4 linked regions of the Diceros bicornis minor genome follow. The protein of the gene in region 4 interacts with the protein of the main gene of each other region in a biochemical or structural test. Links are inferred from orthologs where the notes say so. Each region holds a gene or a part of one and is shown on either strand. Other genes may lie near its edges.

Region 1 (7,176 bases), on a different chromosome or scaffold from region 4:
CCAAATGATACAAACAACTAGTTCAAGTGCCCCCCACTTTTTTTGGTGAGGAAGACTGGCCCTGAGCTAACATCTGTGCCAATCTTCCTCTATTTTGTATATGGGACGCCACTACAGCATGGCTTAATGAGCGGTATGTAGGCCCGCACCCAGGATCTGAACCTGCAAACCCCGGGCCACTGAAGCGGAGCATGCAAACTTAACCACTATGCCACCAGGCCGTCGCCAAGATGTCCATTTTTGTGTAAGCAAGTGGAGGCTTATGTGATGGACAGGGATCTGACTGTAGAAGATCCCAAATGCCAACTTAGGATTTTGGAATTTTAGCGAGGAACCATAATGCTTATATGAGCAAGAATGAGAAAAGTTCCATTTGGAAAGTGGGGTTTTAAGAAGGCTGCTGTGACAATGGGATGGTAACAGTTTTCCAACAACATTCATGCAACAAGAAGGTAGCAGCGTGGACAGGAAGAAACGATTAAAAAAAAAAAAATTAACACACAAATTGTACAAGTTTTTGTAAATGTGTTAGAAGCTAAAGAGCCAATTATGACATCCAAGATTTTAAACTTGGATGAGCAGCATGACGGTATAATTAAAAGAAGTGTAAAGGAGGAGAGGTGATTGGGAGGAATAATTAGCTTGCTTTCTGTTTTAGTATCTTCAGTTATGCTGAGAGCACAAAGTCCAGGTACAAATGTTTTATTTAAGAAACCAGAATTGAGGGACTCAGAGGTAAAATTGGAGAAACAGAGTTGGAAATTATCCTCCCACGAATGCGACATGTGACAGTGCTGAGTCACAAATATGGAGGTCAATGACTTGAAGTTTAATCACACATAAAGAAGTAGAATAGAAAAAGATATAGAACTAAGCTTTATTACGTAGAAGCAAAGGCTACCCAAAAGCCAGCAGCAATAAATGCTAGAGAAAAAAAAAAAAAAGACTGAGAAAAGGTAATTTAATAATCAGAAAGTCATAAGTAACTAACTTTTAGGGCAGTAATGGCTTAAATTGGATTACAGGGGCTTAAAAAGTGAGTAACAAGTACTGAATACTAAACACCTTGAAAAATCTTATAAAAAATTTATAACTGCTCTATGAAATGGGTCTAACAACCCATCTTACCATGTAACTATTCATTGTCACAGGAAGCGTTTAGAAGAGCAACAGTAAAAGCATACACACTCAGTGGCAATGTACCCAGGGATTCAAGTGCTGGCTCAACTTCACACCAGCTCTGTGCCTACAGCAACGCAACTTCTACAAGCCCCAGTTCATTTGCAAAAATGGGGTTAATGCCACCTAACACTTAATTATCGTGAGAATTAAAAAAGATAACCGCTTGCAATTTACAAAATGCTTCTTTCTTGATTTTCTTCCCCCAAACTACCAGTAGCTAATGAAGATAAGGAAATCTGGGTTAAAGAAGTTGAGAGGTACCCAAGACAACACTGGCCTTCAGTGGCAGAAACAAGGCTAAAATCACAGCCTTCCATTCTCTTTCCAACAAACTCCAAAAATCTGCCTTAAAATTTTTAATCCCTAAGTACTTGCTTAATTAACCTGGTTATCATAACCATCTGTTTGTTCGAATTGCGTCTGCATGCTTTCATGTAGGAAGTTGGGTTGGTATGATAACCGTTATTTCCATTTACATCGCTACGGTGATCACTCCTAAGAGTCCTAAAGAGAGCATCTTTCTACAACTCTAATTCTTTTGGTGTCCTATCAGGGGAAAGTATTACTCAAGAAAAAGCTGGTAATTTAAAAAAAAAAAAGACAACTTGAACGCAACATGGAAGAATACACACATTAAAAGGTCCCCATTCTGAGTATTTCTTTCCTTGAACTTAAGCTAAACCTTAAAAACAAGCACTGATCTATCAAACTAAATCTAGCCAACGAATCCCACCTTCTACCTAAAATAACAGAAAATGACTGAGTTGTCTGATCAGACGTCTTAGCTACAGACGCAACCATGCCTCCAAAGACGCGGACCTGTTAACTTCAGAGGCTGAATGTCCCCCCTGCCGCCGGCGTGACAAGCACGCTCAGACCCCGCGAGAGGGCGAGGCCCGTGTCTGAAGCTCTTTCAGAACAGAGCCCAGACCTCCATTCCTGTCTGCTGTCTCACCGCAGCAGAGGGCGGGTTATGCCCAGCCACCGTCCAAACCCAGACCCAGGGGACCGACCCACAAGGAGAAGCCCGGGAGAGAAGACGGCCCCGAGCGCCGCGGAGAGGGGCCCGCGGGCGGCGAGGCTGAAGCAGGGACGGGGTTGGGGGTTGGGGGTTGGGGGCTGGGGCGGAAGTGAAAGCGGCGGCCCCCTGGGCTTACCCTCCGTTGAAAGCGTAAGGCGAGAAGCGCAGCTGCAACGGGCTCGCGGCTCCGTGAGGCTCCAACGCCGGGTCTCTGCCGGGACCCGAGAAGACGGCTGCGGAGGACAACATCGCGCGGCGCCACTCCTGCTGTCTCACGGCGAGATGGCGGCCCCGCCGGAAGCTGCGTCACTTCAGGCTTCCCCGCGGCACTCCCTCCGCCGCTCTATCTCGCACCCGTCGTTGCTCCCGGAGGTCAGCGCCGCCGCCTGGCGTGTTGGTAGCGGCGCATCCCCTATTGCAAGACAGCTGACAGATGTAAAGGTTTTCTTTCCTAAGAAAACATTCGAATTCACTCCTAATGGGCAAAAATTTTAGTCTGATCATACAAAAAAACTCCTAAAACTATGGAGCAATGGAAACTCGAATACTGTATTGGAATGTAAATTGGTACAGCCAAATTTCGAAAAGGGATTGGCACCACCTAGCATAGTTGAAGATGTAGACACCTCATTACCCAGCAATTCCACGCCAAGGTGTATACCCCCAGAAGACATGTGCAAGAATGTTCATACAGCATTGCTCTTAATGGCCCCAAGTTGCAAACGAACCAAATGTCCAAAAATAGGAGAATGGATAAACTAATTGAGGGATACGTCACAGCAAGGAACATTAACCGACTGCAGCTAGAGGGAACACACATCAACATGGATGTCTTATAGCGTTGGGCAAAAGAATACATACTATATAACTCAGGAGTACACAGTGAGTAGGAAGGACCCGTTTGGCTGGGGTATGGAAGGTGGGGGGGGTGGTTCTGACGCTGGTAATACTCGGTTTCTTTACTTTATTCATAACCATCTGTTAATCTGTACATATGTTTATGCACTTCCTTATCTGAATATTATATTTTACAATTTTTAAAATGTTATTTTTAAAAAGCAAGCAAACAATTGGCTAATATAGGATGGACTACCTGATATATACATGCAATTCTGGAACCAGAAAAGACTTTTGAAAAGTACTTGGTTAATTAAAACTTTCCCCATGTTTTACTGTAAACAAACAAAGGATAAAACAAACGATTTTCTTTCATGGTTATGGACAGAGTATTGTACTTATTCAGGTACTGTCCTGGAGACAAAAAATGTATATAACATTTCCTTTCCTTAAGGGGCTCACAACCTCATTGATTATATAAAATACAAAAGAAGCAAAATCACAAGCAGTACAATCTGTGATTATGTCTAAATGAGCCATAGAAGGAGATGCAGGTACTCTGGGGTCCAACCAAGCACCCAGGAAGCAAACAGACAGAAACAAATACCGATAGTTTCTTCCTGACAAACGTGAAAAGAGTGAATAAGACGGTAGTAGCAGAATTAAAATATCATTGAATATGTAAACCAGGCTGTCCGCTTTTGTTTTCCTTATCCTTCTACATGTTTGAGAAGAGCCAACACGCACTGAGTGCTTACCGTGTGCCACAGTTCATGCATTTCCTTAATCCATCTCACAACGCTATTAGTATTCCACTCGACAGACGAAGAAACTGAAGCAGAGAGGTCAGGTAACTTGTCAAAGGTCATACCGCCAGTCGGTTTGAAAAGTCAGCATTTAAAAATCAGTATCCTGCCTACGTCCAGCAGAGCCCAATTAGAAGATGCTCGGGCAAGGCGACCTCGCCCCGGTACACCACAGGAGCTCCGCCCCGCCGCTCGCGTCCCTTAAGCCAAGTACCCAGGGAAACGCAGGAAGTGACGGAGCGCCCACACTTCACATGGCGGCCGCTTGGGCGTGGGCAACCGGCTGAAGCCGAAGGGCGAAACTGGCGGAAGTGACACTACCAACGCGCGCCAGGAGTTCAGGAGGGTCGGGAAGGGTCGCCGTGGCGGGCGCCTGGGCCGCCTGCGGGTTCACCTCGTTTCTGCGGCCGTTGGTAGTCTCTGCAACGACTCAGGTAACAGTCCTCTTAGCTTTTCCTCTTCTCTGAGGATTCGTGCAGAGGCGACCACTACAGCGAGGCCTGGGGCGATGGCGGGAGCAGACGCGGAGTGGGCGCGCGGGCCGCGCGGAGACGGCCCTCCCGCTCTTGCAGCCCGCCGGGGCCTGTACCGGCCGCCCCCGCCCCGGCTGCGTGTCGCCGGGGCCGCTTCTGCTGTGGTGCGAAAGCGGCTTCCCGTGTCCGAGCGTGGGTGCGGGAGGGCCAGGACCCGGAGTCTTCCCGTCCTGCCCTCTGTTTCTTCTTCTCGAGGTTGGAAGGCAGATTCACTCTGGCCGGTGCCCACCTGTTTTGCTACCAGCAGACGTGATTTTATTATAAAGTTGCCCTGGAGACTTTTTGAAGGTTTTTCAGAAGCCAGAGATTTGGGCACGTTAGAGCATAAGATGTAAACACACACCACTTTATTTACAAAGGCTCCCTCCTCTAGGCCCTGGACAATGTGGTTTTCAAATTTAAAACTCTAGGTAGGCTTCTCTACGAAAACATGCTTGAGTTATATAGACACTAGGGGGCTGTGCAGAATTAATTGATCTTTCTCCCTTACCAGTGATTGTGTCCAAAAAATATCGAATATGATGCTTCAATTTCCAACAGATGAAGACCCTCTGCAAACAATTTTCTTTTCTAAGGATGAGTTAGTGTAGTAATAACTGCGGTTTTAACGACACGGGTGAGGAAAGATGGTCAGCGCCGTCACTGGGAGTGAGAGATGAGCTCTGAACAATATAACATCAGGGACGAACCTAGTAACTCAGATTTCTTCTGTAGACTTGCAGTTTGCGGAAAGGGGTTTGAAGCCACCAGTTTCTGGATAAATTTCTGGTCATATTTATGAGTGCTTTAAATCCCGCCCTCCTTGTCTCTTGCCTCAACCACAGCAGTGACTGCCTTAAATTGAACTTCCAGCCTCCAGTTTTATCTCATCGAATTCATTCACGCTCTTGCCAAAGGAGATCTAGTCATGCTGCGCTTCAAAATTTTGTCACTGTTCTTGTTGTTTATGTAATAATGACTGAAACTCCTGATAATGTGACCCCATTTGTATTTGGTATCACATCCCTTGCAGGAGCCTTCCATACAGTCATGCTAAGCTTGTTGCTTGCATACTGCATGCCCTTTCAATCTTTGTCTCCCTGTGCTTGATCTTTCTTTTGCGTGAGGTGCTGATTTGTAAATTCCTACTTGCCTTGCTAGACTGGAGTCAGATGGTCCCTACTTTGTGAAAATACTTGTCAGAACACTTGGCAGTTATCTTGTCTTCTCTTGCATAGCATGTATGCATTTATTCATATTGCATACTATCTGCCAGGTTCGGTTCTAAGTGCAGAGATTGCAAAGACTTGTATGCTTTTTTCTGCACTCAAGGAACTCAGCATGGTGCATATCTGCTATTATAGCACTTAAGCTTTGCTGTACAGTAATTATTTGCATACCCTTCAAATTGAACTCTGATGCCAAGGACTATATCCTGTTCATTTTTATATTTGTAGCACTTCTATTGTTGTTAATTATAGGATATTGTTATTATAGGTTGTCAAAAAACGTATAATTTTCCTATATCTCTGATATTTTCTGAAGCTGAGTTTTTATTTTTATTTTTTTGGCCTGCTTTTTAGCGATGAGTATGTAGGATATATAATCTTTGGGGTCCTTTGTCCTTTCAAAGTGATTGTCAGATTCTTTCATTCATCCAAAAAATGTGTGTCTTTGACATAGAACTTGTAACATTAAGACCTGTGAGTTCTATGTGAGAATGTCTTATTAGCTGATAATGTTTAAGCTGAAATCTGATAATAGTTAACATTTGTCCTGTGCTTACTAGATGTGATAACTAGATGCTGCTCTTTATGTGTTAATCAGTCAATTCTGTTTGATTCAGTCGGTTCTCAGCAACCCTGAGCAAGTTAGGGATCCATGAACTAAACTAAACAAAAAGTCCCTTGGTTCTCTGGTCTAAAAGTAATTTCAAATGTGTAGCCAGTAAAGAGATGATGACTTAAGGAGAGCCAGATCCAGGCACAGTTTGTATTTGTGTGTTCTAAAGAGGTAAAGTCATTACATATAAAAAACATGATGTATTTATATTTATGTCTGTACAGCTTCTATCACAGTATTTTATTAAGGTAGCAGCTCAATAAATGATCACATTAAAGTGTATTGCATCCAATTCGATATTTATTGAACTTAACTTATCCTCCCAAGACATGATAGAGGATATAAAAACCGATTGGAATGTTTAAAAACCTAAACTTGGCCTAATAGCGCTCAGTACATTAATAGGGCTTAATACATCTATACATTGCTTAAGAAATATTTCTACCCAGATATGACAGTTTGCTCAGGAATTCATTTTCTCTGGGTGTTATTCTCCAAAAGTTTTTAATGTTGATTATGACACCTTAATTTTGAACATTGTAAGAGTATTTAAATTAAACATGTAACAAAACAATTTTTCTGTTGGCAGTTGTGCATGCAGTCACAGGAAACATAGAAGGAATAAGATTTCAGCATTATAAGGTAAAAAGAAGTGTATTCCAAAATAGCTTCATTGGTTTTTTTTTGTTTGTTTTTCGTGTAACCATGAAACTGGTTTATAAGACTGTACAGCTTACCTGTATTCTTACATTAAACTTCAAACTTTTTTCCAGGCAGCATCACTGTTTCTTGGTGTGTGTGAAGATAACCCAGAGAGTTGAGGAAGTTGCTAAGAAGAGTGTGCTGGGGATGCTCTAGGAAAAGACCGAATGCTGAGGCGAGTTGCAGTCCAAAGGGTTTTGATTTGCTAAGAAGAAAGTGAACATCATGGATCAGAACAACAGCCTGCCACCTTATGCTCAGGGCTTGGCCTCCC
Region 2 (7,731 bases), on a different chromosome or scaffold from region 4:
CTTCCCCCATGCCCCAAAAGGTCTAATTTAGTTTACTGGATATATTGCAATGACATTAACACGTTACAAGAACAAGAATCAAGTGAGAGAGAAAAAAGAAGCTTAATGTGGCTCGAGGTATTTTAATGCCATGGCAACTATGATGTCTTCTCTATTAATTCACTTCCTCAGGTCAGGTTATTCTGCCCTCTCCTGCACTTCCTGTTGCCGTAATCAAATCAGGTCACCCTGAAATCCTGAGTCCTCTTCATGACTGCAGTCATGTCTATTTCCAGCAGAACGAATTTTCTCCATCTCTTCCTTTGCTCCCAGACCTTTATTTGGTGCCCTTGATGTTCCCGGTTGCTCTTCGCTGTGCTCCACAGGCTGTAAATGCTTCCCTTTCATCCACATCTCCTCCCCCACACCCTCCTCCTCCTCGCTGCTCATCTCCCTGCCCCTCCCTCCAGCTTCTGCAGTTGTCACTAACACAGTTAGCCACTTGATTAGTGACTCAGAGATTCAGAAGCCAAGGACCTTGGTTCTCCTGAAAGGCCTGTGCCTCTCCTCCTAGAGCAAGATAAGGTCCCTCCTTCACCCCAGATCTCAGTGCTATTAAGTTGAGATGACTTGGGAACTTGAATATTCCGTTTGGTAGAGTTGCCCCGTCTTCTTCCGCTTTCCTTTTGCTGTGCACATCCTGGGGCTCTTCATGCTCTATTTAACTTTTTCCCCGGAAAGATGGGCAGAGGTTTGGGCTTAGAATTTTTGTAGCCCAACCTCCCCATTTACAGGTGGGGAAATTAAGATACAGAGAGCTTAAGTGACCAGTTGCATAGCTAGGTCTTGGAGGAACCAAAACAAATAGGGTGAAACCTCAATCAAATTGGTGAATTTAGTGGGGAAAAAATCTTGTTGAGGGGTGAGTAGTGCCAAAATGAAGAGTTCCTTTACTCATCTGTCCTTGTCTCCCCGCTGGCAGTGTAATCAAACCATCAAAGCAGAGTTGGGACACGAGCCATAGATCCACCTGGAAACCTAGAGAGGCACCTGCCTCCCAGGAGCATGGAGACTCGGAAAACTGCCTGGCCTCCTCCAGCCCCTATCAGCAGGGCAGGATGAGCGGTCAGTGACAGCCAGCACTAGCGACTTCCACATGAGTACCACATACACTAGGTTTTTCGCAATTTGCCAGCGCGTATAGTGGTGAATTGACAGAATTGTTTCCCCTAAATGTAGGAAGGTGCATAAAATACAAGATGCCTATAAAAATCTATTTATTGCAAGAGTTATATCAGTCTTATAAGTAAGCATCAGCCTTCTCTGGGGAAAGACATGGGTGGTAAAATGAATAAAATAACTCAGTATTTTGACTGCTTGCTGCAGTGGAAGAGGGACTTATGTTTCCCAAGACGAGTGTGAAGAGAGGGATATATTCTTGGATACAAAGGAAGCCAGCCACAGCAGCTTAGAAAAGCCACTCCTTGGTGTGGGCATGGAAACAAGTCCCACCCCTGGCAGGGCCTGGCTGTTGGACATCCTGTGCAGTCTCTTTCCTCTCTGTGAGGGCTGGTTCTGGCGCACTGAGATCTGCTGAGTTAGGAGCTGGCCATGCTGCTGCTGCTGCACATTGTGATTAAGAGCTTTATTGATTTTTCTAGCCCATGACCACATTGGTGGGGACAGAATACAACAGAGGAGGATGGCAGGAAGCCAAGTGGAAAGAGGGTTTATGAAATGAGCTCTCAATGAAGAAAACTGTGGGAAAGAATGCGATGGAAGCAGATTTGGGGCCAGTAGATGTGGGAAAGTAGAGCAACTCAAAAACGCTCTTCAGACTTTGCACTGAAGCAACGCACTTTGCCAAAACGCAGGAAGAGGATCCCGTCTGTGAGAAAGACTCAGCACTGTTTATATAAAACAGAATATTCCTCTCTGCAAAAGCATCACTGACAAAGCTTATCCTTCATTCTGTACCAGGCACTGTGTTAGGTCCTGGGGCAATAAATAAGAATCAGCCAGTCTAGAGAAAGGGATGGGAAACATACACAACATGATTTGTAAAACTGCAAATGCATCTGAAGGGAGTCATAAAAACATTCTGCCTAAACTTTGGGCCCAGAGCCAGCAGGAATGAATGGTGGCAGAAGGGGGACAGGACTGTGTCCTGGCTGCTGCCTGCCTCATGTGCAAATCTGATGGAGGTTCTCAGGGAGCTTTCCCTCCTGTCACTGCCCATTCTGTCAGGAAGACCCTGGTCACTTCCCACTCCACCCCTTCAGGTCCAGAGGCCTGCTTCAGTGATGGGGGCTGTGTGCAGGGTTTTTTCTCATGGTAGCAAGTGCAAAGGCGGCACTTGACAGTTTGGGTGTACAGTACAGGCTGGGAAAACATCAGAGCACCAAGGGGATGGCTAGACATTCTCCTCTGATCCTAAAGATAGGGGCAGGACACTTGTGACACAATTCCTCTTCCTGCCCCCAGGTACCCATTCACCATGAACTTGTGTCTCTGTGGTTCCAACTGTGTGTTTTGAGGGGAGATTTCTTCCACCCTCCCCTCCCCCTGCCTCAGCCCCCTTTGAATAAAGGAATAAATTCTTGTTGCTTCCTTTGGCTTTCAGCATCTTTTTTGCCCCTGAAAATAAACTGGAAACTGGGGAAGAAGATGGGTATCTGGTGTATTTGGTACGTCAGTGTAATGTGTAAGGGAAGAGATGATATGTTAAAAAAGAGAAAATAAGAAAAATTATCATATAACTCAAAACCAGTGAGTGATCATGCTCAGTACATGATGGCGTTTTTGTTTTTGTTTTTTTTTTTAACTCAGAGATAAAATCTTGTTTCTGTGGTTCACCTTTGAAAATGATGTTAACCTGAAGTGGCTCTTTGATCTTCCACTGCAGGAACACCTTCTCTGTGTAGCTTTGGAGGACTGCACTGGAGGACTTTAAGGAGGTTAAACTTAAGCCAGAAGACTTCAGAGGGGTGTAGACTAAGCTGGGAGACCTCAGAGTGGTCTAGGCTAAGCTGGAGGGAACTTATCCCAGTATAGCCTAAGCCTCTTATCTCCTGGAGGAGGAATTCGGGCTGGCAGGGGTGGCCTCCCAGGCCCCTCCGCAGGTGAGCAGCACCAGAACCGAAGTCTCCTACCTCCTGGTCCAGGGCCCTTCCCTGTCTTTCTAAAGCAGTCAAAAGGGGTTGAAATTCCTGGCAGTGTACGGGGCAAATGTCCTTAACATCATTCTCTTTTTCACAGAGGAAAACTGAATTTAAGAAGAAACTCAGAATACTCGGTGAAAAACACCTGGCATTTAAGCACAGAGCCAAAAGAAAGGCGTGGTCTCCCGGGGCTGGAAGCACTTTGAAATCCCCAAAGACTCATTTCAGTTCAGAAAACAAAATGGAACAACTTTCTTTGCTCCCTCCTGCCCCCTCCCCCGTGCAGTAGCTGTTCTTGGCAGAGGCCCAGAGCAGCACCGGGTAATTCCACGGTACATTGTGTACATTTGCATCCATTTAACCAGCTATTTACAGCCGCCCTTTACCGCCACCTGTAAGAGGCAACGCCATAATGACACTAAGTGGCTAGGCTGGGAACCGGGTGCCTCGCGATTTCCTCCACTTGAAGAGCCCGATTCTGTGGAGTGGTTGGCACTCGGAGCAACAGGGAGACAGCTGGGGACATCACACGTACAGGGCGGGAGGCGCGAGGAGGCGCGCCAGACGGAGGGTCCTTCCTCGTTAGCTCCGCTCGGTGGCTCCTTTTCCGTTACCACCATCGCGAGCAGGAACCTGCCGGGCCTTCCGTGCCGCTTGTTTCCTGCCTGATAAAGAGCCCGCTGCCATTTGGATTTGCTGAATTTCTGAATCACCCGAGACGCCCGGCGGTCCCGAGGAGGGTGGGGACGCGGCGCGCCAGGGTGGGAGCCGCACTCCGGCGGCATCGGGGCTGGAGGACACCCCCTTGAGTCTGGGAAACCTGCTCGCGGATGTGATGCGGCCCGGCGGGGACACCTGCGCTCCGGTGCGTGCCGCACTCGTGCAGCTCCGGGTGGCAAACGGGGTGAAGTGGGGGCGAGGGCGAGAGGAAGCTGAGGCGCCGGAGCGTCGGAGCCGCTTCCTGAGCTTCCCTTGCTCTTTGGAGGCTGTCCCGAGGGGGGCCGGCGGGCACCGCACGGCGGACTGCCAGGTTGCCCACGGCACAGTTGGAGGTCAGGAGTTCTGAGCCCCCCGAGCGCAGGTACCCCGCCACCCCAAGTGCCCGCGAGAAGCCCGCGGCGCCCAGGACCGCGTGGCGCGCTCGGAGCGCACCGAGCCGCGAAGAAGCAAAAGATAAACCCTGATGGGCCGGGGGCCGGGTGGCTGGCGCGCCGAGTCAGCGCGGACAGGGAGCGCCTTTCGTTTTAAGGAGCCTTACTTCTGGGAAGGGACAGGGAACTGTCAATCAGCGAGGGAGGGAGCGCACCGGCGCTGGGTGATGTCAGCGGATCAGCTGCTCCATAACAAAGAGGGGGTATTACAGGAGAAAGTTGCAGCGGCGGCGGCGGCCACGGCGGCACCCCGGAGCCCCGGAGGCGAGGGGCAAGTGGGCGAAAGGAGGGAGGACGGCTGCTGCCGCAGCAGCTGAAGGCCAAGGCATTGAAAGGGCTGTAGGGGGAGGCAGTGCGAGCCTGCCCCGACTGCTCCTCCTCTTCCTCCTCCTCCTCCAAACTCGCAGGGTTCAGCCCCAGCGCTCGCTCAGCCGCCAGGAGCACCCAGAGGGACGGGAGGCAGCCGCGCGGCCCCGAGCTGGGCAGGGTCCGCAGCCGCCATGGATAGCGACGACGAAATGGTGGAGGAGGCGGTGGAAGGTACAAGCATTTCTCTGGGGCCGGGGGAGGAGGCGCCGAGGGCTCGGAACGCGGAAGGAGTGGCGGGCTGCGACCCGCGCGGCGCCGGGCCCCGCGGTCGCCACTGTCCCCTGCGCGGGTGGCCCGTTGCCCGGCTCGGCAGGGGCCAGTCTGCCACGGCCACGCCGCCGGGAGCGCGCACTGCGCGGCGAGGCGCAGGCCGGGAACGGGGCTCCGCCGGGCCGGAGCCCCCGGGAGGGCACGGCTGTTCCATCCCGCCTGGCCACCGCCTCCATTCGCCCTCGGAGTTGCGAAACCTGCCCCGCACTCTGGCCTTCCCCCTTTTGGGGATTGAAGGGGGGGGGTGCGCAGGAGGACAGCCCCCTGAGACCCGAGGTCTCTGCGGAGCAACCCCCCCCGCCCGGTTTTGGCAACCCCGAGCCCCTGTCCGGCCGCCAGCCCTTTTCTTCCGCTCACCGCTGCGACCCGGGGTGACCGCGGCGGCGTTCGGGTCGGTTCCCCTGCGCAGCGCACAGGGCCGAACCTCGCACGTGGCAGCAGCGGCCCGAGCGGCCGCTCCTCCGAAAAGATGAAATCATTGCAGGGCACTGGACGAGACTCCAGACCCGGGGCTCGAACGCGCGCCGACCGGGAGGCGGGTGGCCCTCTCCTCTGCTGCCCCCGAGCGAACTCAGTCACACCGCCCCCTCCCCCTTCCTGCTTCCGAGCCCGGGCCGCCGCCACGCTGTGCAGGCGCGCCGCAAGCCCGGGCCGAAATTGCTGGGTGACACTTAACTTTCTGAATTCCATGCAGTTGGCTGCGGGTGATATCACCGCCTTGGTGTCGTGTTTCTCCGCCCCTTCTCTTCTAGCGCCCCTCCCCCGACTTTTCTCGCCACTTTGTTTTGCTGAGTTTCTCCACCTCTTTTTTTGCTAGTTCTAAAAAGCGAGGTGGGGACGTTATACAATCTCGTTGTTTGTGTCATGGGATGTTATGATTTTGTAACAGCGAATCCTGGAAGATACTCTTGAGCGTGTTTATTTATTTGATTCTACCTCAGACTACGTCGTGATGTTTTGCAGTGTTGTGTGGTATTATTCCAAAATATTTTAAACTAAGCATCTAAGTGAATAATTTTTAGCTTTTGGTTGAATCTGGTTTGTGTTTAATTGGTAGAAACAAATTCTCATAAATGGTAAAGGAAAACAAAGTGGCAACACTGTACAAATGCATAAGGATACATAGTCATTGCTACTGTGGGAGAAGAAATTAGTTGTTATGTTTTTATAAAACATAATTGACTCCTTTTGCAGTGCTCCTGGGGTCTGAGGATGAGATTAAGTGGAATAATATTTCTGAATTCTCTAAAAGGTATCCATTCTAATGTAACTATTAAAACATTTCTTCATCCAGCTTTGAAAAGTGTTTGTTGTTTTAATTTCACAATGTTGTGAACTCACAGAACTATTTATTTCTCTAATAAGTAAAGCCAATGTTGGGGTTTACTGGGGCCCAAAGACATTGTTTGAGTTGATCCATTGGAAGCCTTCTTATTATTTAAGTTATTGACTTCTTGTGCCTTCATGTTATGAAAGATAAATGAAAAATGCTCTTCTCAAATTGTTAGGGCTTGCTCTCATTCTTCAAAGTTTACTTTTACTTGTAAAAATGTCATGCAAACCTTTGATCATGGTCCGTGCTCCCCGGGTTAAACCACGTTCCCCTCTGAAGCTGTCTAGAAATATAAGCCCCAGTTGTCCATGGTCTCCAGGCTCGCTGCAGAATGTGAACAAGAAACTTGAGAAAATATATCAGTGTTGTTTTTGAGCTTGCCAATGGATAGAAACAGAGAAAGTTCTTTATATAAACAAGGAAAGTTCTATTATATAGAGTGACCATATACGTTATTGCCCAAAATCAGAACATGCCTGAGAAGGAGAGGGGTCACTATGGATATTCATGCTGGGACAATTGGCATACGCCTTGAATGTTTGGGGCAATCCAGGACACGTGGTCACTCAGCTGTACCTACCAGTAAACGATTATAGTAACACAGACTTTTTAAGTCCTTAAAAGCTTCTAAGGCTCCAACTCACACAGTGTCTACAGTATGCATGAGTACTCGCAGTAAACTGCACCAGTGGGCTTTTCTCCAGCCCTGCTTGGCCTTTTTAGTGCCGTCCGGAATAGTCTTTAGTTAACATCTAACACACGCATGGGGACTAGTTTAAAGCTAGTCTGAATATCTTGGTGTTTAAGTACCAACTAACCTACCTCTCTCCATAAACAAAGCCTCTGTTCTCAGTAATTTCATTGTCTTAGCTATTGTTATCATTGCTGTAATTGTTTAGTTCTTATTTTGTACAGGCTCTGTGCTAAATGCCTCACACGCACATTATCCATTTAGTCTTAGGAGGTGGGTACTAATATTATCCTAATTTTGCAGAGGAGGGAACTGAGGCATGGAGAAGTTAAGAACTACTCCAGGGACACTCAGTGGGGAGTGGGAGACCGGTTTGGACCTCTAGAACCCCACTCCACTGTACCCAACTGTCTTCTTCCATTTTTCTTATTTTTTATTTTTAATGAGTCAGCCAAATATATGAAATACTTGGTAACTGAGTTTGGAAGCAGCAGTTAAGTATTATGTCAGTAGCACTCTTTATCAGTGGTAATTTTTTAGAGAGTTGGTTCTGATAGAGTTCAGTGACTTTCAGAAAAACACATCTAGGGAAAGAATTTAACTTACAGCCTCTGCAACAGACATCCTTTTTCTTCCTCCTTAGAAATTTACTCTAGGGAAGAAATTGGTCTCTTCAGGACTTGAGTTTAAGTGTCTTTTGTCACATCATATCCGTTTTGGTTCTCTGTCGGGGTGGAACTGTAGCTTGGGTGAAGTTGTAAACTCAGAGCGGATGAA
Region 3 (7,129 bases), on a different chromosome or scaffold from region 4:
GTCCTGTCCGTGACAACACCCTGGAATCTGGCCACCTCTGTCTCCTCTGCTGCCCGGTCCAGGCCACAGTCCCCCCTTGCTCCCATCTCGGCTCCGCAGGCCACTGCGGTCTGAGTGATGCAGCACTCACCTCTTGCTGAATGTTCTTGCTTTTTCTCTCCCAGCCCTTAACTGGCCCACCAGGCCCTTGGTGGCCTGGTGCCACCTGCCCACCTGTTCAGCCTCATCGTATGCCACCCTCCCCACTACACTCACTACACTCCTCACTACACCTTGCTCACTACACTCCTCCCCAGCCCCATTTACTTCTGTGTGGCACCCATCACGTTCAGCATTTCACAGGCATTTACACAATTGATTCTGTCTTCCCCACTCGATGGAAAACTCCCAAAGGCAGAGACCATGCTTTGGGCTCAGTGGACATGTGTTGCTTGAGAAGCATTGTATTGCTGAGGAGGTGTGACTGCGGCGATGGATGCTAAGACCCAGGATGTGTTTCCCCTAGGCCGACGCCCCCAACCCGTCCCTCATCCCTGAGACCGACGCCGTGGGGGTGACTGTGGTCCTCATCACCTGCACCTACCATGGCCAGGAGTTCATCCGCGTGGGCTACTACGTTAACAACGAGTACCCCAACCCCGAGCTGCGGGAGAACCCGCCCCCGAAGCCGGACTTTTCTCAGGTGGGACCGGCTCTGCACCGCACCACCTTTGCACTGCTGGGGGTTGAGTCATTGAAACTTGGAGCCAAGGTCACTTCTTAAGGCTTTCAAGTAGTGCTCAGATCTTGCAGCGCCAGGCTAGAACGGGAGAGAGAAAGGTCTTGGTTTCTCAGAAGCACACCTTGCAGAATCAAGATTAGATAGGTGGCCCTAGACTGTGGGGTGGGCATCCCCGGGAGTGGCACACACAGCTGTGGTGGTGGTGGGATAAGCCAGCTCTGCTTGTCCTGGGGGAGCGGGGCAGGGGTGCCCTGGCTCCGCAGGAGTGATGAGAGGGCATGCTGACCAGGGTTGACGTTCCTTTTTCCGCCCAGCTCCAGCGGAACATCTTGGCCTCAAACCCCCGGGTGACCCGCTTCCACATCAACTGGGACAACACGGACAGGCTGGAGGACCCCACCCTGGGCTGCGGCCTCCCCCTCAGCTGCACTCCTGTCAAGGGCTTGGGTCTCCCTGGCTGCATCCCCGGCCTCCTCCCCGAGAACTCCATGGACTGCATCTAACTGGGGATCTAGGCCAGTCTCCTGGCACATCTGGAAGGGGCAGCGGGGCCTCCCAGAGAGTCCCCTGGGGGCCATGTGGAAGACTTGGGGGCCGTCAGCTACATCCAGGCCGGTTAAACTTGGCCCCGAGGAAGGAACAGGCCTCACGTCTCCCAGCCCTGGCCCAGAAGGATCATCTCACCTCTCCTGCCCAGGCCTGCAGAAACAGGTGCTTCAGTTCTTAGTTCTTTCTGACTGTCCCTTCCCTCTTCCACAGGCACTGTCAGTTCCACCTGCGGGTCATTGTGCCCCCGTGCGCCCGGGAGTACCATTGACCCAGAGCTCTTCCCACAGGCCTCCCTGGCCTGCTTTGAGGCTTCCTTGGTCAATGCCTGGCAAGGCTCTGGCCCTGTTGGGCCAAAGGCTCTGTCATTCATCTCCCTTCCCAAACTACCAAGCAGAATACACCCAGCTTTCTGGAGTCACGGGCAAGGAATCGTGGTTTGAAGGTAGACTCGGACACAGTTTCTGTCCTCCTGGAACAATTTTTAGGTCTTGTCAATCCAACAGCCCCTGGAAAACTCTGTTCGCAAAAGTGTGATCAGCAAGATGCTGAGGAATGATGGCTGATTTTCTCAGTGACAGCTACCTTCCTGTTACCTCCTAACTGGATCTGGCTTTCCCTGGAGGCTGCCACTGTGGGGAGATGGCATGTTAGAGGGGCCTTCTCTGCTGGTCTGTCTCAGTGTCAGCATCAGGGCCCCTTTGGGGGCCTTGCTCTGCCCTCTGCTAAGACCCCACAGGCCACAGAGTGACTACGGGCAGGGGAAGCACCAGGGCCCCTGAAGTCCCCCACCCCCACCAGGCTCCCTGCCGCGCCCCACCCCCTTGCTGCTATGTGGATGTTGTTGTGGTTGCAGTTTGTACATTAAAGGGTTTTTATATTAAATATGTTTGGTTGGTCTAAAAATAAAAAGCATTTGATCTAGGCTGATTGTTTCTGCTTCTGTCTTGGGTGGGCTGAGACAGCCTTGTCTACCTCTCCTCCTGACGTCGGGGGCCTCCTGCCCCAGCCAGTGAGTTGACTGCCCCATCCCCAAGCTCAGCTTCTTACTCGAGTCTTACTTGGTTGGATAGTTGTATTCCAGACTGAGGTTCCGGGGTGGGGTTTTTCTTTGTCAAAACCTAAGCAACCCAGCTGTTCTGTAGATAGAGCATAACCCGTGACTTTCCAGACTTTGACCTTGACCCCCAGGAGGGAATTAACATCTGTGCTCCAAGGACAGACAGCAACACTCTTATTACGTTTTACTTCACCTTTGTAACCCCACAGCCCAAGTGGGAGTGGTTTGGCTGGTGACCCATTTCCCCATAATTTACAGAGGAGCCCCACTCTTCCCTCCCTGAGACTGGCGAGCCTAGGAAGGTGGGTTCGGACAGCTTCTGGGAAGGGTTCGGGTTGTAAGTCTATAGGCAGAGCAGGGAATCAGCTTGCAGAGCTGAGCCCGGATAGCCCCTCCGAGTCAGGGAGAGCTGGCTCATCCCGTCCCCTGCCCCTCTCAGCACCTCCTGTTTGGGCCCTTGTCTACTTCAGTGGTTCTCTACTGAGGGCAGTTTTGCCCCCAGGGCACCTTAAACTATGTCTTGAGATGGTTTGAGTTGTCACAACTGGTGCCTGGTGGACGAGAGGGAGGTTCTACAGGGGTTGAGTGGGTAGAGGGACCGGATGCTGCTCAACACCCTACAATGCACAAGACAGCCCCCCAGCAAAGACTGATCCGGCCGCAAATGTCAGTAGTGCGGCGGTGGAGCCGACGTCCTCAGGCTGTGTGTGTATTAACAGGGTATCCTGAAGGAAGGGGCATCTTGCTACGTCTCTGCTTGGGGGGGAGGTAGTTCCCTCTGCTTTGCGCGGATGGAGAGTATCCTCAGCCTGACTGAGCCCCACGTTCTTCATCTGTAAAACAGGAGTGATGATACCAGTACCTGCGGGACAGGAGTGTGGTGCGAATTACCAAACGAGCGCCAGCTCTTACTGCTGGCCTGAGCCCAGGGTGGGCGCCCAGCACAGGGAGGGACACTGAGCGCCCCCTCCCAAGCCCCCTTGCTCCCGGGGCCCAGCATCCTCCTGAAGCTCGGGCTGCGGCTGGGGGAGCCCCAGGAACCACCCCCAACCCCAGCCTGAACCCCGGGCCTGCCGCTGCCCTCCTGCGCCAGGCCTTATCAATGACGACGGCCGACGGCCCGGCGACCTCTGACCCGCGGCGCCGGCCGCGCCCCTCCCCCGCTGGCAGGTGGACAGTGGCTGCGCCGGGGGGTGGGGGGGCCGCGGCGCCAACCTTGGCTGGCCGGCGGCCGCTGCCGCACTGGGCGGGGGCGGGGGACTGCGGCGCGCACGGGGCGGGCGCCCGCCGGGACCGCCCACTCGGCCTCGGAGCGCCGCGCGGCCGCCCGCCAGCCAGCCTCGGCCGCCCCGCCCGCGGCCTGGGCAGCAGGCTGCGCGTCCGCCCCGCCCTCTCACCCCGGGATTGACACTGAACGTTCTGCCAGGGGCTTGCCGGACTGGGCGCCTCCGCCAATTGGCGGCCTCGCTGGGCGGGCCCTGGGTCCTGTCGGGCACCTCAGCCAATCAGGCGCGTCGGCCCGCCCAGCTGAGGCCTCGCGAGCGCGCGAGTGGCCGGGCGTCCGCGGCGCGCGTCATGGGACCGAGAGCCTATGGCGGCGCGGGAGGGTCGCGGAGAGCCAATGGGCGGGGGCGCGGCGCCGTCAGTCAGGGCGGCCTGGACCAATGATCGGCGGGCTGCGGGGGCGTCACGGACAGCAGCAGCGGACTTGGGCTGAGGTTCCCGGGCGGGCGGGCGCGGAGGGACGCGGGCAGCAGGGGCTGGGCGGGGGTCGCGGCGCCGCAGCCAGCGCAGCCAACGCGAGCGGCCGCCGCCGCCGCTGCCGCCCAGCGCGCTCCGGGGCCGCCGGCCGCCGCCAGCACCCGCCGCGCCGCAGCTCCGGGACCGGTCCCGGCCGCCGCCGCCGCGATGGGCAACGCCGCCGCCGCCAAGAAGGGCAGCGAGCAGGAGAGCGGTGAGTACCCGGGCCGTGACCCCGATCCTGGCCCCGCGCTGCCAGCCCCCACCCTGTCCATCACCGCCTGGCCCCTCCCCCCACGCGCCCCCCCATCTCTCTCCGCTTACCCCCCAGCGCTCCTTCCTCCTGCCTGTCCAAGATTGGGGCCCAGGGCCCCCAGAAGACTCCCGTAGGAGCCCCTTTGCCGAAGGCCGCCCCCCACTGCAAAGACTGTGCCCCCCCACCCAGCTGTCACTGCCAACCATGGCACGTATGACCGCTGGGGCCTCGCATGGGAGCCTGTCACCACCCCACCCTCTCCTTTCCTGGCCCCTCTCCCCAGATTCTAACCCCCACTTCCTCACTTTTCCCACAGATGGGACCCACTGCCAGACCCCGACCCAGACATCTACCAGTCTGGGAGTGCTGTGGGGTCTGCCTCCACCCCACAGGGACCTTGGCCACTTGGTGACCACACCCCTCCCCCCTCCAGCCCCCGCCATCTTTCTCCTGCCCTTCCCCTCTTCACCTTACCACAGCCCCCCTCCAGACCCACTCTGCCCCCCTTGAGCATTTCCCAGAGCCACCTCCAGTATTGTTTTTCTCTTCTGTGTCACTTGGCATGGGGGACAGGATCTTTCTGGGTCCCTCTGCCCCTCTCTCATCCTGTCACTCTGCTTCTCTGCTTGTGCTCCCTTCTCCAAGCAAGCGTCTGTCCCTGGCTGGGGTAGCAGACTGTTTATGAACGTAGAGAACCGCATCAGTTCTTCCAAAGCCAAGTTTGAGCCGATCTTGCTGGGATTCATTGCGTCCTCCTTGCTGGAGTGGGGTGGGGGGCGGCAGCAGAGCCCCTTCCCATCTCCTGCTGTGCAGTGAGCTCTAGGATCCTTGGAGGCCCCTCAGTACATGGTTGTTTCACAACTGAGGCTCCGTCATTCACCCAGTCCCCCGGGCTTCTTCAGCCGCTCCTCGTCCGGGATGAAAAGTGGGAGATGAAGAGTGTGTTTTGCCAGACTTATTCAGCTTGAGCTGGGATGGTGAACCGGGGGACTTGGGGTGGCAGTCGGGGACAGCAGTGGGTGACATCTAATGGGTTGCTTTGCCAGGGGACAGATAGATTCTGATCACTCCCAGAGCTCAGCCAGAGAGAGGCCTGTTTCCGCCTCAGCCCCCAAATTATGTTGGCCTTTTCCAGCCAGCCAGAGAAAGAGATTCTGTGTCTGGAAATGCCTTCAGAAATGGCCTGGAGCCCCTTCCTCAGTTCCTCCAGCTCTTAAATTGTCATCACGCCAGGCCTAAAGCTGGACCTAAGCTAGGATCCCCTTCCCGTTACTCAGAAAGTCAGAGCCAGCAAGGAAGCCACGTCCAAAAACTCTCTTCCCAGTTGCTGGTCTCAGACCCCAGGATCTGAGTGTCCTGAATGCTCCCTCCCAGAAAGACCTGGGCATGAAAGCCAGGGGACTTTATTCCCATACAGATTCAAATGGCAAACCTCAGAGTCGCCAGGCAGGCATGGGGAGGCCTGATATGTCACCGATAGGCGGGGGCCGGGGAGGCCAGTGCCTGTAGCTGAGTGCTTGATGACAGAGGAGCAGGTGGGTAGTGACCAAAAAAGGTCTCAGCATGAGCTTGGAGGGGACTAGGCTGGGGGGAGGGGCTGGGCCCCCAGCAGGTGAGGCCGGCTGGGAGGTGGAAGGTAGAGGCAGGCAGCTGTATATTGCAGTGGCTCAGTTGAAAGTTGGGGAGATGACATAGTTCTGGAAAACTTTCAAGGCGTATCAGACACATGTGGTCGGGGGGGTGGAAAGCCGCACAGGGAAAAGGATCCCCAAGAAAAAGATCAGAGGCTCTGGAAGGAACCGCTAATTCTCTCAGAGCGCAGGCCGGACACCCAGGAATGGAGCATCACGATGCAATAGAGCCCATTTATCTAGGATGTGCCAGGCTAAATGGGCTCCATAGATCTGTCTGCTCCAGTGATTTCCATAACGGCCTGTTACCAGAATTTTCCAAACGAGCTGAGTTTGACATAGATGATGTCACAGAGGCAGGATTCACATCCAGATCTGCCCACCAGCCAACTTCCTGGACCCCAGAATTTCCCAGCCCAGACATTCTCAAGCCACCTCCTCCCTGATTTTTACTTTACTCACTTATGTTTTCTTAATTTAAAATGAAAACTTTGACTCACTTTTGTCCAGATGTAAACTTTGATCTGTCCTAAGCAGTAATATAAATGAAATCATGAGCTTGCTGTGCCCGCTATATTTTTTCTGATACACATTAAAATACAACGTAACTAGAAAAATTAAACATACCTAAAATCATTTCCTGCCTTGCCAGTGGGACCCATATCACCCTTCGGGAAATGCCCTAAACTGTACTTCCTTCCAGAGTCTTGCAGGGGCTCTCAGAGGAGGAAATAGGATGAGGAAGGAAGCCCTTCTTTGCTTCAAAGCGCTGATTTTCTAAGGATGGAGTTACAAAATTTGCCCTCGGAACTGGGGCCGGGCTGGGGGCACGGGCAGTAGCTAGGCCAGCCTGCAGGGGGCACCTGAATTTCATCTCCCAGACGCCAGCCCTACTGGGGTAAGGAAAATGCCCAAGCCTTACTAGGCACCAGTTAGGCATTCTGCAGCCCCCTGTGCTGCCGTCTCGGAGCCAGGGCAGGACAGCGTCGGCCCCCTCCTGAGAGGGTGGGGATCTAGAACAAGCGCTGGGGTTGAGAAGGGGGAAATCTGTACCCAAAGATGCCAAAGCCATTGGCAGGGGCCCGGGTAAGATGCTAAGAGGGTAGAGAAAAAAAGACCAAGCCCGGGCTCTGAGCAAACTGGAGGAATTGACAGAGGGCAGTGGCCCCGAGAGG
Region 4 (7,782 bases):
GTTCACAATGAAAAGGTTAAAATAAAATCAATCTATCTACGGAGAAAACAACAGCCTCAATCAGTTTTACTGGTGAGTTTTACCAATTTTTCAAGGAAGAAATCATTCCAAACTTATACAGACTCTTCCAGAGAATAGAAAAGGAGGGATTTTTCCTCATATCATTCTATGAGGCTGCTACAACTTTGATACCACAATTAAACAAGGCCAAAAAAAAAGGAAAATTACAGCCATTTCATTTACAAATACAGTTGCAAAATCCCCTCCTAAAATATCAGTGAATCAAATTCAACCATACAACACACCATGACCAAGCTGGATTTATCCCAAGAATATAGGATGGTTTACTCTTAGGAAAGCTACGTCATACTATGTTAACAGATACAGAAGAAAAATCATATGATCTGCTCTATAGATGCAGGATAAGCATTTGATAAAAATCAACACCCATTTATCACAAACATTCTTAGTAAACAAGAATTAGAAAGGAGCTTCCTTAACCTGATGATGAATACGTACCAAAAAATTGTATATAACTTAAGGGCAAGAACTGTAAAAATATACTCTTTTCAGTAATCACATTGTTGGTTGTAGGGTTGGTATTGTTATTCTGAGAGTGTTTTGTGTATAGTGTGAGATAGATCAAATGAGTAATTGGTTGGTGTCATTGAGAACTGAGTCTTTTTTACTATCGTAAAATATACCATTTTAACCATTTTTGAGTGTGCAGTTCAGTGGCATTAAGTACATTCACATTGCTGGACAACCATCACCACTATCCATCTGCAGAATCTTTTCATCATCTCCAATAATCACTAACTCCCCTTCCCATCTCTGTCCCCATTAACCACTAACTCCCCATTTCCCCCTCTCCCCAGCCACTGGTGACCATTATTCCACTTTCTGTCTCTATGAATTTGACTACTTTAAGTACCTCATATAAGTAGAATCATACAATATTTGTCCTTTTTTGTCTGCCTTATGTCACTTGGTGTAATGTCTTCAAGGTTCATCCATGTTGTAGCATGTACCAGAATTTCATTCCTTTTTAAGGCTGAATGGTGCCATTGTATGGATATACTACACTTTGTTCATCCATTCATCCGTCCGTGGACATTTGAGTTTTTTCTGCCTTTTGGCTATTACGCCGCTGTGAACATTGGTGCACAAATATCTGAGTTCTTGCTTTCAACTGTTTTGTATATACATATACCCAGAAGTGGAATTGCTGGATCATATGGTAATTCTGTTTAATTTTTTGAGGAACTGCCATACTGTTTTCCAAAGCAGCTGCACCATTTTACATTCTTGTCAGTGAGGCACAAGGAATCCAATTTCTCTACATCCTTGCCAACACTTATTTTGTTTTTCTGATAATAGCCATCCTAATGCATGTGAAGTGATATCTCATTGTGGTTTTATTTGGGTTTCCTTGGTAGCTGTTATGTTGAGCATTTTTTCATGTGCTTATTGGTTTATTTTATATCTTCTTTGAAGAAATATCTAAGTCCATTGCCTTTTTTTTTTTTTTTTGGTGGAGAAGATTGTCCCTGAGCTAACATCTGTGCCAATCTTCCTCTATTTTGTATGTGGGACACCACCATGGCATGGCTTGACTAGCGGTGTGTAGGTCTATGCCTGGGATCTGAACCCGAGAACCCCAGGCTGCGGAAGCGGAGCGCTTGAACTTAACCACTACGCCACGGGCTGGCCCCTTCATTGCCCATTTTTGAATTGGGTTGTTCAGTTTTTTTATTGTTGAGTTGTAGGAGTTATTTATATATTCTGGATATTAATTCTTATCAGATACGTGATTTGCGAACATTTCTTCACATTCTATTGATTTTTTTACTGTGTTGATAGTGTCCTTTGATGCAAAAAAGTTTTTAATTTTGATAAAGTCCAATTTATCTATTTTTCTTTTGTTGCCTGTGCTTTTGTGTCATATCCAAGAAATCATGGCCAAATTCAATGTCGTGAAGCTTTCCCCCTATGTTTCTTCTAAGAGTTTTATAGTTTTAACTCTTTAATTTAGGTCTTCAATCCATTTTGAGTTAATTTGTCTATGGTGTAGATGGTGTTAGGTAAGGGTCCAACTTCGTTCTTTTGCATTTGGATATCCAGTTTTCCCAGCACCATTTGTTGAAAAGACTGTCCTTTCCCCATTGAATGGTCTTGGCGCTCTTTTCAAAAATCGTTCAATAAAATTTAAAAAAAAAAAAAAAAGGGCCGGCCCGGTGGCTTAGTGGTTAAGTGCGCGCGCTCTGCTGCTGGCGGCCTGAGTTCGGATCCCGGGCGCGCACGGACGCACCGCTTCTCCGGCCATGCTGAGGCTGCGTCCCACGTACAGCAACTAGAAAGATGTGCAGCTATGACATACAACTATCTACTGGGGCTTTGGGGGAAAAAAATAAATAAAATTAAAAAAAAAATCATTCAACTATTATATGTGAGAGTTTATTTCTCTGGGCTCTCTATTCTATTTTTTTTTTCTCCCCAAAGCCCCAGTGCATGGTTGTGTATCCTAGTTGTAAGTCGTTCTAATTCTTCTGTGTGAGCCACCCCGACAGCATGGCAACTGAAGATGGGTGGTGTGGTTCTTTGACCAGAAACAAACCGGGGCCACGGAAGCAGTGAGAGTGCTGAACTTTAACCACTAGGCCATCAGGGCTGGCTCTCTATTCCGTTTCATTGGTCTATATGTCTGTCTCTATGCCAGTGCCACACTGTTTTGATTACTATAGCTTTGTAGTAGGTTTTGAAATCAGGAAGTGTTGGTCTTCCAATTTTGTTCTTCTTTTTCAAGATTGTTTTGGCTAATCAAAGTTCCTTGAGATTCCATATGAATTTAAGGATGGATTTTTCTATTTCTGTAAAAAGAGAATCGAGATTATTATTGACATGGGAGAAATATGTAAGGTAATTGAGTTAAAACTCTGTAATCCTAAATTTGAAAAGGAGATGTCAGTATGAACTTCTAACGCATGTCATATAAAAATATATATATATTGGCTAACTGTTCACTGAAAAGGACTACAGTGACTGACCCAGCTACAGTAAGTGTCCCTGGCACTCAGACTGTGGTCATTTCCCACGAAGAGAAGAACCAGGACTCCTCAGAAAGCTGTCTGATTCCAGACCTTGGACACTACTGGAATTGTGTCAAAAGGACTAAAGAATCAACTTGAAAAGGTTCCCAATGGCCACAGACGGAACAATCTGAACTTCAATAAGAATAATAATTGCAATAGATTAAAGCACATCAAATATGTATAAACCCATGAATTCATTGATAATCTTTTTAAATGTTTATTGATCGATTTTGGAGGATGATAGAGAACCAAGGCATTATTTTGAAAACTGATAGGGCCGGCCCTGTGGCTTAGTGGTTAAGTGCGTGCGCTCTGCTGCTGGTGGCCCGGGTTCGGATCCAGGGCGCACACCGACGCACTGCTTCTCTGGCCATGCTGGGGCCATGTCCCACATACAGCAACTGGAAGGATGTGCAGCTATGACATACAGCTATCTACTGGGGCTTTGGGGGGATAAATAAATAAATAAATAAATAAAAAGAAAACTGATAAAGGGAAATTCTATACCCTAATAAATCACTTTTAGGTATATACCCAGGAAAACGTATACAACAGGAGACATTCACAGGAATGTTCTTAACCACACTATTTATTATAGCAAAAAACTGGAAACTCAAATGGTCATCCTCAGGATGAATAAATAAATAAATGGTGTGTGGTATATTTACACAGCAGAATAGTATACAGCAGTAAAAAGTAGGTATGGATGGAACCATGAAATGGATAAACCTTGGTAACATGTTGAGTGAAGAAAGCAAATAAAGGACAAAAAAATATGATACTCTCTTCATAGAAGTTCAAAACTAAGCAAAACTAAACAATATATTGGTTAGGCATGTATATGTGAGTGAATTTATTTTTCTTAAAAATTTTTTCTTTCAAAAAAGTCAAGGGAATAATAAATACAGAATTCTGGATGGTGGTGCCCCCGACACGGGGGATAAGGAAGGGAAGAACAGGTTAGGAGCACAAGGGTGGATCTAAGTCCTGGCCGGGTTCCATCGAGCCCCTGGAGTTTTGCAGTGGGTACACTGGAACTCGATGTATTAATTTAAAAGTTATAAACACATACGAATTTTTAAAAAGAGGATCATGCGAGGATCAATGACGATTGTGTGTCACTAACCAAAGATTATAATTAATCTATTCTGTCGACCTGAAGTTGGCCTCCTCAAGAAAGTTAGCAGACTTTTCTAACGGGGCCAGCCACGTGAGAAACTCAAGTGAGTGGGAGGGGTAATAACTATTTTCACTTTTCTCTTCCTGTTTTTTCAGAGCCTGGGAAAGCAAGTCAGAATTTCCAATCTTTTCCAATTCCCACATGATTCCCTAATTTAGAATGAATTTAGAGAATATAAAAAAGTCTTTCTTCATCTGGGGAAGGCTCCACCGCCTGCCATGGAGCATCCTCATTCTCGGATGAGGAAACAGCCTGGGGTGGGGGGCGCTCTAGCCCCCTCCCTCACCCCGCACGAATGCGCCTTGGGGTTGGCCTTGGGGACAATACTCCCGCCGAGGGCTTGCATGACGGTTAACTGCTGGAAATGCTTTGGCCAACGGTTAAACTCTAGCTGGAGGCCCTGGGGAGGCGGGCGGGGGGCGTGACCCAGCGGGTTCAATTGGCCCCTGGGAGCCCCGGACCTTCTAAGACACAGGCGTCAGGCTGCGGAGACGAGGTTCCGGAGATTGACCCCAGGGCGCCTCCTGCCCAACCTCTGCCCCAGATGGCTGGCAGGGTGGATGCATTTTAAACCGACGAGCCCTCGGCCCGCTCGCCGGCGGGAGCGGACGCGGCGCGGAGCCTCGGTCGCCCCTTGCGTGCAGTGGGCTCCGGGAAGCCCGCGATCCAAGCACCGCCAGGTGGAGAGGTCCGGGCGCTTCCCTTTCCCCGTGCTGCATCTCGATCGGGGTGGCCAGGAAACTAAAAAGTGCTTCTGCGGCGACAGCCACCAAGAGCACATTTAGCGATTAGGAAACCGTGTGGAGGTCAGCCACCCGGCCTTTGCGGGCGAAGCAGGCCCCGGGCCTTTCCCTGCGCAGGGCGGGCGGCCGCAGCCCAGCAGCCCTGGCTCTGCTCCAGACCCGGCCCTGGGTGACATCACCAAACTCCTCCGATCCGCGGGAGGGGGCCCCGAAATCCCCTAAAAACATTGTGAGTAATCGCCGGGCCCGCCCTCCAGGAGGCCCAGCCCCAGGAGCGAGCCAAGCCGCCCCGCCAACCCCGGGAGCAGCCTCCGGGCGGGTAGCCTCTTCGTCTCCCGCGGGGCGCACGCTTGTTCCCGGCCCCCGGCAGCACGGCGCGCGCGGCCTCTTCGTCCTCTGCGCAGCAGGCACTTGGCCCCAGGCCCCGCGGGGCGGCAGCAGTGGCAGCGGCGGCGGCGCAGCGCGCAGGCGCATTCGGATTCCCGGCAGTGACGCGGCGGCGGGCGCGCGCGGCGCATTTCCGCCTCTGGCGAATGGCTCGGCTGTAGTGGGCGCCGCGGGCCCAGCTGCGACCCCGGCCCCGCCCCCGGGACCCCGGCCATGGAAGGTGAGGGCGCCCTCCAACCCCGCGGGTGGCCGCGCCGGGGCCGCCGGGACCGCGGCGGGAGCCCCGCGCCGCCTTCCGCCCCTTCCTGCGCCGATGGGCGCTGCGCAGGGAGCGGCCGGCCGGATGGTGGCGCGGGGCGGGGCAGGCGTTAGGGGTCTGACTCAGTTTCCCCTCTGGGTGGAGGGGGTCCTGACTCAGTATCCTCCTGGGGTGGGGGTGTGGGGTGAGCTTTGACTCAGTTTCCCCCCGAGGCCCATGGAGGCAGTTCTGACTTAGTTTTCTTGTTAGGGGAGCCTGTATCTGACTCAGTTTCCTCTCTGGATGGGGGGTGGGGAGTGTCCTCCCTTAGTTTTCCTTATGAAAGTAGAGAAGGACCTGACTCAGTTTCCCCCAGTAAAGGGAGGACGCGAAACCCAGTTTTCCCTCGGGAAACAGGTGTTTCTGGCTCCTTTACCCCGACCCCTTAGTTTTACTGCGGCTTCCAGGTAGCGGGCCCTGACTCAGTGTCCCTCGGAGGGAGCCTCGCTCCATCTCCTCTCCGTGGGGAAGCAGGCCCTCCCTCGTGAGGATGGGAAGTGGGCTTGTGCTGACACTTGTCTCCCTCCCCTTGCAGACCTGTTCCCCCTCATCTTCTCCTCGGGTAAGTGGACCATCCTTTCTCAGTGGTTCGGGATGAGCTCCCCCCGGGGGTTAGGGGCCATGGGGTCAGCCACCTGATGGAGGCGGGCCGGTGTCTCCCCAGCAGAGCCAGCCCAGGCTTCTGGCCCCTATGTGGAGATCATCGAACAGCCCAAGCAGCGGGGCATGCGCTTCCGCTACAAGTGTGAAGGCCGCTCAGCAGGCAGCATCCCAGGCGAGCGGAGCACGGATACCACCAAGACCCACCCCACCATCAAGGTCAGCACTGGCTCCCAGGGTTGCGGGGGAGGCACAGAGTCATCCGGGCAGGGCTCTGGAACCCCAGCGGCCTTGCTTCCAGACCCCTGTGCAACCTGTGTCTGGGAGTTGGGTCTGCAATTCCTGAGCCTCTAGGATGCTCTCTGTACTTTGCACAGATCAATGGCTACACAGGACCAGGAACAGTTCGCATCTCCCTGGTCACCAAGGACCCCCCTCACCGGCCTCACCCCCACGAGCTCGTGGGGAAAGACTGCCGGGATGGCTTCTATGAGGCTGAGCTCTGCCCGGACCGCTGCATCCACAGGTGAGCTCCCCTCGGACAGCAGAGGAGGGAGCGGGAGGTGGGAGGACCAGAGAGGGGGCAGTGTGTAGCTGTCACAGTGTTACTCCTTTCTGGACAGAGGGCTGAATTCCTCCCCAGCTCTGCAAGCAGATTCCCTTTGTCTTGAAGTTATCTGTTTGTGTGTCTACTCTCAAGCAGATGTGAGCTCCATGGGATAGGGATGGGTCCTTAATCACCTCTGAACCCCTAACCCCTGTGACTGGAGGGGCAAGTCCCTCAGTGTCACATCTCTTGCAGTAAGGAAGAAAACCACTGGACCAGCAGTCTCCCCTGGAGCTTACATACCAGTTGACAGAGGCAGGCCGTAAATAAATATACAAATAAATAAACAAGATACTGTTAGTAATAATTTCAGTGCTGAAAATAAAACAGTAATAGGCTGGAGGAATAGCCCGGAGTGGGGGAGGCGGGGGAGCTGGTCTCATTCCTTTGGATCAGGAGGTCAGGAAGGCCTCTCTCGGGTTAGATTTGAACGGTGAGAAAGCAGAGAAGCACAGAAAGAACATTCCAAGCAGAATGAACAAGTGCAGAGGCCTTGAAATGGGAATGAATTTAGTGTGTTTGGAGAACGGAAAAGAAGCCCCTGTGGCTGAGGGCAGGGAGCCAACGGGGACTAGGGCTAGGGCCAGGTGGCCGGGCACGGGCGTGTCAGCCAGAAGAAGGAGTGGGTGTCATTGCAGCACAGTGGGAAGCCATTCGAGGGGGTTAAGCACGGAGTGATCATCTGGTGAGTGGGTGGGAGAGGAATGGGCAGACTGGGCGAGGCGGGAGGGCCCAGGCTCTGCTGGAGACAGTGGGACTGATGCCTGGGGGGCCTCAGCTTCCAGAACCTGGGGATCCAGTGTGTAAAGAAGCGGGACCTGGAGCAGGCCATCAGTCAGCGCATCCAGACCAACAACAACCCCTTCCAAGGTGAG

The links.
Region 1: the proteins of RELA (region 4) and TBP form a complex in vitro, tested with the Homo sapiens proteins (2 studies listed by BioGRID). The link is inferred for Diceros bicornis minor from reciprocal best matches to the Homo sapiens genes RELA and TBP.
Region 2: of the proteins of RELA (region 4) and SETD7, one has a biochemical effect on the other in vitro, tested with the Homo sapiens proteins (3 studies listed by BioGRID and IntAct, with this or other methods). The link is inferred for Diceros bicornis minor from reciprocal best matches to the Homo sapiens genes RELA and SETD7.
Region 3: of the proteins of RELA (region 4) and PRKACA, one has a biochemical effect on the other in vitro, tested with the Homo sapiens proteins (4 studies listed by BioGRID and IntAct, with this or other methods). The link is inferred for Diceros bicornis minor from reciprocal best matches to the Homo sapiens genes RELA and PRKACA.

What each region holds. Positions count from the first base shown.
Region 1 is NC_080778.1:1,493,611-1,500,786, reverse strand, and holds the start of TBP (TATA-box-binding protein), read left to right. Parts: upstream 1-4,174; 5' UTR 4,175-4,280; intron 4,281-6,789; exon of another isoform or gene 6,790-6,842; intron 6,843-6,973; 5' UTR 6,974-7,127; coding exon 7,128-7,176. Other genes in the region: PSMB1 (proteasome subunit beta type-1), read right to left, coding at 2,340-2,452. UniProt on the Homo sapiens protein: The TFIID basal transcription factor complex plays a major role in the initiation of RNA polymerase II (Pol II)-dependent transcription.
Region 2 is NC_080750.1:29,991,181-29,998,911, reverse strand, and holds the start of SETD7 (histone-lysine N-methyltransferase SETD7), read left to right. Parts: upstream 1-4,729; 5' UTR 4,730-4,791; coding exon 4,792-4,831; intron 4,832-7,731. UniProt on the Homo sapiens protein: Histone methyltransferase that specifically monomethylates 'Lys-4' of histone H3. H3 'Lys-4' methylation represents a specific tag for epigenetic transcriptional activation.
Region 3 is NC_080769.1:3,624,496-3,631,624, forward strand, and holds the start of PRKACA (cAMP-dependent protein kinase catalytic subunit alpha), read left to right. Parts: upstream 1-4,127; 5' UTR 4,128-4,235; coding exon 4,236-4,281; intron 4,282-7,129. Other genes in the region: histone chaperone ASF1B, read left to right, coding at 506-682, 1,036-1,224.
Region 4 is NC_080770.1:7,546,884-7,554,665, forward strand, and holds the start of RELA (transcription factor p65), read left to right. Parts: upstream 1-4,780; 5' UTR 4,781-5,615; coding exon 5,616-5,622; intron 5,623-6,235; coding exon 6,236-6,262; intron 6,263-6,364; coding exon 6,365-6,519; intron 6,520-6,677; coding exon 6,678-6,826; intron 6,827-7,685; coding exon 7,686-7,777; intron 7,778-7,782. UniProt on the Homo sapiens protein: NF-kappa-B is a pleiotropic transcription factor present in almost all cell types and is the endpoint of a series of signal transduction events that are initiated by a vast array of stimuli related to many biological processes such as inflammation, immunity, differentiation, cell growth, tumorigenesis and apoptosis.